Arabidopsis thaliana: one gene and its partner. The protein of the gene in region 1 interacts with the protein of each later gene in a pairwise test. Each region holds a gene or a part of one and is shown on either strand. Other genes may lie near its edges. The genes, in order: AT5G44040 and TOPP6.

Region 1 (4,448 bases):
TTCTCTTTGGTGTTGACACTAACTTCACCGTCACGTCAAAAGGAGCCAGTGACGAAGCCGATGAGTTTGGAGATCTTTACCTCTTTAAATGGACAACCCTTCTCATCCCTCCGACAACTCTCATTATTCTCAACATGGTCGGTGTTGTTGCCGGAGTTTCTGACGCTATTAACAATGGATATGGTTCTTGGGGACCGCTTTTTGGGAAACTGTTTTTCGCGTTTTGGGTCATTGTTCATCTTTATCCTTTCCTCAAAGGTTTGATGGGTAGACAAAACCGAACACCGACGATTGTTGTTCTTTGGTCTATCCTTCTCGCTTCGATCTTCTCTTTGGTTTGGGTTCGGATTGATCCGTTCTTGCCGAAACAGACTGGTCCGTTACTGAAGCAATGTGGCGTCGACTGTTAAATGAGGAACCGCATTTTCGTTTTGGACCGCTATTTTGAGCCATTTTGCTTGGCCTATTTTTCCGATTTGGGTGTTCTTTGTTGGATTATATGGATTTGTAAGGAGGAAAAAAAATACAAAACTTTGATTCACTTGTGAAATAAAGTAGACAAATTTCTGTAAAATACAAACAAATAGAATGAATATTACTAAATCAAATCACACACAAAACACAACGATTTTGTTATCAACCACACACACACAAACAAACAGAGTGATAAAAATAATTTCACAAAGGCAATGTAGTAACCAAACATGTGTGGAATTCTTTCTCTGTTGTGGAATTGGAGTTCTAAGAACTTCGACTGTACTTGTTCGTTGCCATTGAGTGACTGTTCCAGTAACCACCAACTGTTCCAATTATCGGTGATTCAGGGCTTCTACTTGGCGATTTCCTTGGCGAATTCGTAGCTGAGAACTGCTTTATCTCCTCTGCAGTTAACGCGCCCAATATAGGTCTTTCATCATGGCATTGAACCAGTTTCGAGTATTTCTTCTTCTCGGACATTGTGGTTTCAACACTGCTACAACCGCTGGTCGTGGTTTGTGATGTGGATAACCAAGTTGAAAGACTAGCATCAACAGCTATTTCTTGAGTTCTCTGTTTCTCAGTTTCATCTCTTGATTTCCGGTTCAAGCTGAATGTTGATGATAAATCATCAACCTGAGACTCCAAGCTGAAGGAAGCAATTATCACATTCTCCTTCCGAGGCTGTGTTTGAGTTGTTGTTCTTCCTTTGGCTTTCACAGCTTTCCATTGGGAAAGATTCTCAATCGGGTTCAGTACTGCATTGACATATCCACTTCTGTCTCTAACACTCACACTACCCTTTTCTTCAACCCTCTCTATATCCATAACATTATCCGCAATCTCCTCCGTATAAACTACTTTATCCCAGTTGTGCAGCTTGTCCTCATAATTGTCATCATTATAATAGTCATCATCTAGCAGCCCACAATCATCATCATCAGTATCCTCAAGATCGCTATCGTCACAATCCGTTACATCCTCCTCTTCATCATCACTCTCTCTGCAATTCTGATATCTATGGTTAGAAGGATAAGACCCTGACGAGTTAGAAGTAACATCGCTCCCTTCAGACGAACATCGAGCCTGCCTCGACTTCACCTCTTCTTTCTTCTCTTCAAAGAGCTCAACAGATTCATCTACTGCAATGTGTTCATATGTTTTAACATTGGTGTCAAAAGTTACTCTCTTACGATTTGGACTTGGACTCGGACTCTGTTTCTCCTCAACCTTGTCACTGCAGTTTAAAGAAAAGAATCAAATAAGTCAAATCTGTTGAGCTAAAACACAAAACATGAATCTAAGTAGAAAGAACAAAACCACAACACTTACCAGATATCAGTGATCGGAGTTACAGAAACTGTAGGGACTTTCTCAACAACGTTCACATGATTATCCTTTGGAGACACCTCCGAGATTTTAGGGACTTCCATAACAGTTGAATCTTTTGCATACTTTGGGACTTCTTCAACAGTAGGAACCCTAAGATTCAAAAGAACATCCTTTGCAGCTTCCTCAGAGATTCTCTACATAAAACGAAACAAAATTACTTCAGATAAAGCAAAACCCAACAAAAAATTGAAGCTGAAATTAGCTTAATTGCAGCAAATCAACACTAAGAAGAAGAACTTACGTTTAAACGTGGCTGAAAAGATTCTCTGCGTCTCTGACGGCGACGATTCTTCCGACGACCGAAGCAACCAAGTAAGCAACCCATTCTCTTCTACAATTCAAAGAGCTAACAACGAGAGAGATTGAAGGTAATAGATTCCTTCGAGAGCTTATAAATCGAAGATTAAAGAGTCAACATTGCAAAGAGATGATTTTTAACTGGACTTAGAGAGAAGAAGAAGAAGTGTTGTACTCATGGATTTGGGGGTTTAGGGTTTCCTTTTTTATTTGTCTCTTCAGATTTCCTTTTTTATTTGTCTCTTTAGATTTCCTTTTTTCTCTTTCTAATTTCAGGTTATAATTTATTAATTTTGGCGGAGTAAAAGTAGATGACCGTTACAAGTCTGATTTATTAGACTGTGAAATTGGACCGTTGTTATGTGGGCCATGGCTTTTATTAAAAAAAGAAGAGAAGGTATATTATTTAAATTGGAGATAATGGGCCGTTTTAAACCCAATTATTATTGGTCCACTAAAGTTTTTATATCCTCTAACTTCGACGAGCTTGATATAGTTTTGGACCTTTTGGTGTGAACGGTCACATTCAACTAAATTAAAAAGTCCAACAAACAAAATCTGGTCATGAAAAGCTTGGTGTGATGTTTCTAATAAGTAAATTTACTGAGGTTAATTGGTTGGTTTAACTTAAATGTAATCCAAACTCCTCTCCCTTTAGAGATTTTCAGTTGGGAATGAAAACCTTTAAAGCTTGCACCCTAAAATGACATTAATGGTTATAGATATAGTTTGTTTTCATGTTTCTTTTTTTTTTATATTTTCCTTTAGTTTTTTCTAGGGTTGGGACTAAATAATCGGACTCGGATCCGAGATCCGATTTGAAAAGCTGGATACCCAATTGGGATGGATCCGCTTCCGGATCCTGAATTTTTAGATTCAGATGAATATTTTTTTTTAAACTAAAGAAAGCATATCAGCATCACATTTTTGTGGTGATACTGCTTCAAGAATCTGTCACATATCTGTCCAAAAGAAAAGAATTTGTCACATATTGTATAATTTTAATATATTTATTGTTTTAGTTTGAAAACAAACGTGGAAAAAAACATCTTACAGGTGTCAGGTGTGCCGCGTCGTCCCACTCAAAGCCTATATCATCAATTTTCTGGCTGTTCTAATCTACTCAATTTATTTTTTTATTGTTAATTTACTGAAGATCGGCGATGGGAGAGAGAGACGACGAAGCAGAAGGTATTTTAGAGAAGGCGAAGATTCCTTTGTTAAAGGATCAAAATGTGGCAGAGGAGGAAAACGGAGAAATAAAGAAAGAGATATGGCTAGAGACGAAGAAGCTGTGGCGTATTGTCGGACCAGCTATATTCACTAGAGTCACGACCAACTTGATCTTTGTCATCACTCAGGCTTTCGCTGGCCACCTCGGCGAGCTAGAACTCGCTGCCATCTCCATCGTCAACAACGTCATTATCGGCTTCAACTATAGCCTCTTCGTATATATACGCAACAATACTTTTTATGTAGCTTATATTATAATGTTGGGTTTAATTTGTTAAGAAACTATATATGTTTATATGCAGATTGGAATGGCGACTGCGTTGGAAACGCTGTGCGGTCAAGCGTTTGGAGCAAAGAAGTATGACATGTTTGGAGTGTATTTGCAGCGATCTTGGATTGTTCTTTTCTTATTCTCCATCTTGCTCCTCCCAATGTACATCTTTGCGACTCCGATTCTTAAGTTCATGGGCCAGCCTGACGACATCGCAGAGCTCTCCGGTATCATCTCTGTTTGGGCCATTCCTACACATTTCTCATTTGCCTTCTTTTTCCCTATCAACCGGTTCCTCCAATGCCAGCTTAAAAATTCGGTATGTAACTTATGATTTGAAAGGTCAGTTGGTCACAACGGTGGGGGTTAGTCCAAATATCTTGTGAACTAGACGGCTCTATTTTTGGGGTAGACAGTGTTTGCAAAAATATTGATCAGTTTCCGTGTGAAATTGATGAGTAAAACTACCATTTCTTCATTGATGTTAGATTAACTTATTATAGAAAGTTAATTGATTTTTTCTAGATGCTAGTTATTTTTGGCAATATTCCTTTGTTTTATTTATTTGTGTGTGTGTGTTTGTGAACGATTTCTTGCATTTAGAAATCCTAAAATGTCTTTGTATAGTATGTTTGTTTTTCTCGTTCATTTTTAAATCTTGGAAACTTGAATGGGTCAGCGAGCTTGGTGGACCAATAATTGATGAATAAATAACATTTACCCAAATGGTCAACCACGTGTTCCTCGTTGAACAACAAGCTGTCTCATTTGATCGCAC
Region 2 (4,943 bases), 300 kb from region 1:
CATATAACCAAAACACAATTATAATATTTTCACATTAAAGATAAATTAAAAACATCCATATAATGTTTCACATTTAATAATATACATATTTTAAATATTTTGTTAACATTTAAAATTATGATTTTTCTATCATTTTTTTTATTTTTTAAACTACTTTGAATCATCATATAATACATAACACTAATTAAAATCTAATTTTTTCTGGATATATTGTGATTCGGATGTTTGAAAACAGCCATATATTACTCACATAATGAAATAAAATTATTTGTGTTCAAAGTCTCACATCAGCTAAAACTTTGTGTCCAAAATCTCATAAATAAGACCAAATTGAACCCAAAGAAATATGAGTGAGTAGGAATCCTAACTTAACAAACATCCAAATTTAAATATTTGTTCAGTTTAATTCGGTTCTTTAGTCAAACCGTTTAATTATACCAGATATCATAAATTCTAAACTTTTTAAAAAATTAAAATATTATAATTGATCTATTTAAAGTGTATAAAAACTTCAAAATATTATCAACGTTTAACTTATAAAAAGTTTAAAATATCACGGTATGGGTTATATGGTTTGACGAGTTTGAATCTTCATTAATATAAATTTAAATATCATTAACTCGGTGGTACAACATGGGTAAGTCATCATTTTAATATTTTGTTAACACTAGCAATATTATAATGATATGTCAAGTTAAATTGATTCAATTATGATTATGTATTAAAACAAGATATATAAGTATTAGTTTTCTAGGTATCTGCAATATTAGAAACCAGATATCCAAAAGTCACGGATCTGGATTGTTAAAGCACAGTTCTGAATACTTTTCAAATTCTAGGATATCCGGATCCATTCTACCAATTACAATCCTGCAGAAGCCTTGTTGGCCACACAATCGACACAAGAGTTAGCTAGCCAAAAAGTGCCTTCAACTTAAGAAGATGCAAACCGGAAAGAAAAAAACATATCTTTGGTCCGAAGGAAATCATGTTTTATTATCAAATTTAACCACCAACAACTACAAACCAAATTTACAACAACAACAACCAAAAATAAAAACACATACACACAAGTGATAGCAGCAGACAACACAAAACATAACAAAAACAGAAGCTTCCCAAAATTCCGAAATTCAAAATCCTCTTTAATTTCTCATCATATAGTAGTCGAGTTACGTTGGCATGGTTTCTAATAGTTATTATGCGGAGTTTTAAATCTTCATCAGTTGTATTCTTTCGAATTTTGCGAACTCAGAATCGACTGCAAATAAACATGTTTAATTAGATCAAATGGTTAGAGATTCCGAGCTTGCCTTGTAACATGACATGACAACAATGATTTGGCTATAAATTACTTGTAAGTTACTAGTGAGAAACATAGCAAACCAATTTTCAAGTATACCACAGTGTTAGTTTTGACTAACATTAGGTCTAATTCGGTGAAGTCAATACTAATCCAAAGTTTCATCTATCAATGCGAATAGATTTAAAATTATTGAGGAGCACAAACAGATTCAAAATGTTAAATCATTCAAAAACATTTAGTAATAGAGCAAATTATTATGCATTTACCATATTTCATTTTTTGTGCTACAGTATATCCACAAATTAAAAAGTGATGTGATTAATACATACCTTCACTTTAGGATAAGGGAAGCTAGTTTTAGCACCACCTCTGCTTCCGAAACTGAACTTTGATTTCTTGTCATTAGATTTTAAGATCTGAAAAGAGCAGGTCAAATCCTCAGACACACTCATCATCGCACCTGCATTGTCAAATTCCCCACAGTAATTCGGCGCAGAGAATATCGTTACGAGCTGCTTATTCGCAAAGAACTCGAATCCATCTTCAACAACCTGTTACAAAATCGTTGCTTGTGTCAAAAGGAAACACGTTAAAAATGTTTCTTTGGGCACAAGGAACAATAAACAAACCTGGTGAGCCCTACAAATGAGGTCAAGATCGAGTCTTTTAAGAAATCCAGAAACTATATCTGATCCAAAAGTGTAAGAAACTCCGCGATCGTTAGGCCCCCAACCTCTAACATCTTTATCAGGATCAGACCACAAGAGATCACAGAGTAAACCACGATCAGGAATATCCGTTGGACGACGAATATCCCTAATCTGCCTCAAGCTTAGCAGCTCCGGGGAGAGCCCACCATGCATACAAAAAATCCGCTCATCGATGAGTGCAGCGACGGGGAGACAGTTGAAGCAATCAGTGAAGATTCGCCAAATCTTGACACTGAATCTACGTTTACACTCGTCATAGAAGCCGTAAATACGATTGATTGATGCACTTTCATGGTTTCCTCTGAGAAGGAAGAAGTTTTCAGGGAACTTAATCTTGTAAGCAAGTAAAAGACAAATCGTTTCGAGGCTTTGCTTGCCGCGATCGACATAATCTCCAAGAAACAAGTAGTTTGAATTAGGAGGGTATCCGCCATGTTCGAATAGTCTCAAGAGATCCGGATATTGTCCATGAATGTCCCCTGTTTATTATTTGTTTAACCAAAAGATTACATAGGAGCACAATCTCAGAAAAGAGTCAGAGAGAAACAGAGAGAAACGTACCACATATTTTAACAGGAGCTTCAAGTTCCAAGAGATTTGGTTGTCTCAAGAAGATATCTCTAGAGACGAAACAGAGCTGTTTGATCTCTGTTTCAGACAACTGAACAATCTTTCCTGGTTTTTCTCTAGCTTCAAGCAACCTATTGATCACCGAGTTTAAAGTACCAGGATCCATTTATAAAACCTCAAGAAACAGAGCAACAATGAGACAAAACAACAACAACGCCTAGAAGCTTTATAATATACAAAAGCTATTGACAATATGGAATAAATTTAAAAAGTATGGAGCTTTTATGTTCTTTTATGCTTGCTCTTTGAGAAAAAGAATGGTGATTGTCAAATTCAAGAAGGGCTTTATAAAGCCGCGTTTAAGAATATATTCTTCATACCTTTTTAGCAAAAGTCACATGTGTTCATACCTACCTACATTGTTCTAACTTCAACTAAATCATATAATAATCAGATTCTAGCTAATTTAGTAACACATTGTTTGTGTGTGTGTTAAGCTTCACAGGATTGAATCCTGTCCGGTACGTCATGATTCAAATTTAAGATCTTTCCGCCGGTACTTTGAGTGCGAAAAACGCTCTTTCTTCTTCTTCTAGTATCGATGTTTTTGGATTCGTCCGCGTCATATTAAGCAACTTGGCTATTTACAAAAAACATATTCTTCTTCCTTTGTAGCCAAAAGCCATGGGTAAAAACCTACCCTAATTGTTCTAACTTCAACTACATCTAATAACCAAAAATGTTAGCTATATTTTCTCTTTTATGGTCAAAACATATTAGCTAGTTTAGACACTTTCTTTGTGTTGAGCTTTTTAGGCTTGAATCTAATCGAATTCAAGATACTTTTGCGTGTAAGTAGAGCACAAAAAACGTTCTTTCTCCATCACAGTATCAATGTTTTTGGATTCAGAGTAATTCACAAAACCTTGTTCGTTGATTTGTTCGCATCATCTTAAGCAACTTGGCAATGACAAAGAACATATTCGTTATGAAACTACCGGATGTGAGAGGACACCTCAGGAATAACAAGGAAAGAGAGAGCTCGGAGAATATTAGTTTGGCTTTTGCCTTTTTTCTTCTATTAGAACCAAAAGATATAAAGGAAAGATTCCAAGTTTAGGAGGAAACGAAGAGTGATGCCTCATCTTATGACTTCTATAGATCATTTCATTTTCTTAGCTGTATCTTATTAGACATAGGTACTTAGAAAAAAAAAAAAAACTTAAACAAGATTCATTCATGTACTCACAAAATCCAATATTTAAATGAATAAAACTTCTCAGTCATAAACAGCAAGCTTCTGATACTCCTCACCTTTAATGGCTAACAACATGACATCTTCAGGATTCACAATCCCACCTTCCTCAAGAAACAGAGTCAGTAGATTCTTCGAAAACCCGCTAACCATAGCTACACCTTTCTGCTTAGACACCACGGGTGTAGCTGACGAGTCTCTTAAGTTCCAAAATACAATTTCAGGAACATTCTGAAAACCCTTCTCTTTATACTTCCTCTGAACAACTTCATAATCCGTCTCCCATTTCTCAAAACTCTCCGGGACACTCTCGTAGTCACTCTCCAAGTTACTCGCGTAGTCACTCATTTCCGAATGGCTGTCTACTCTTGCATCATCAAACTCCATGTCACTGAACACAAACAACCGCTTGATCATCTGTTCATCGGTTAAGTTATTCTCGACAGCAACCTCTAGAATCCGATCAAACACCTTCTGGAAATCTGTGTTGATTCCAAAATCCATTTCTCTAACAAACTTAGTCTTCTCTCTCAGACTCGAACCCGTGACAACATGAAGCTGCGGGTTTTCGCTAAAAGTGATAACTTTCCCTTTCCACGGCTCTTCATTAAGTTCCGAAACCAATAACCCTAACGCAATACAAACATTCATAGGTGTACCAGCCATGCTTCCCGAGACATCACAAATCGCCAATGAGTTCTTCAACTTCCCTTTCTTGGCAAGATCATCAACCATTCTCGCCCATTGAAGCTCTGCTACTTCTTCACCTTCACTATCATTCAAAAGCTGACTGATAATCTGATGAGGAAGCAACGCACCAGCCGCCATCTTCTTCTTCCCGGATTTCACATCCTCCAAAAACTCGGTGAACCTCTCGCTATCGTGTTCCGCAAAGCGTGAACTATAATTCTGCATGGCTATAGAAGGAACTCTATTGTACTTCAACAGATTCCATTCCTTGGCACTCATAGACACCTCTGGCAACTCAAGAGCTTTATGTAACGGGACAAGAACTTCTTTTCTCAACCTATCTCTAATCCTATATGCATAATGCACTTCTTCGATACCTTCTTCGTATTCCTCTCTAAGGAACATTCTTCTA

Evidence for each region.
Region 2: the proteins of AT5G44040 (region 1) and TOPP6 interact in a two-hybrid assay, tested with the Arabidopsis thaliana proteins (one large-scale study listed by BioGRID).

Annotation. Positions count from the first base shown.
Region 1 is NC_003076.8:17,719,155-17,723,602, forward strand, and holds AT5G44040 (eisosome SEG2-like protein), read right to left. Parts: upstream 2,453-4,448; 5' UTR 2,195-2,452; coding exon 2,111-2,194; intron 2,004-2,110; coding exon 1,810-2,003; intron 1,715-1,809; coding exon 742-1,714; 3' UTR 505-741; downstream 1-504. Other genes in the region: CESA4 (cellulose synthase A4), read left to right, coding at 1-410; AT5G44050 (MATE efflux family protein), read left to right, coding at 3,330-3,614, 3,702-3,989.
Region 2 is NC_003076.8:17,419,075-17,424,017, forward strand, and holds TOPP6 (type one serine/threonine protein phosphatase 6), read right to left. Parts: upstream 2,909-4,943; 5' UTR 2,753-2,908; coding exon 2,578-2,752; intron 2,496-2,577; coding exon 1,936-2,495; intron 1,858-1,935; coding exon 1,636-1,857; coding exon of another isoform or gene 1,609-1,635; exon of another isoform or gene 1,262-1,608; coding exon 1,223-1,261; 3' UTR 871-1,222; coding exon of another isoform or gene 856-870; 3' UTR 716-855; downstream 1-715. Other genes in the region: AT5G43390 (plant/protein), read right to left, coding at 3,866-4,943. UniProt on the Arabidopsis thaliana protein: Serine/threonine-protein phosphatase that possesses phosphatase activity toward para-nitrophenyl phosphate (pNPP) in vitro.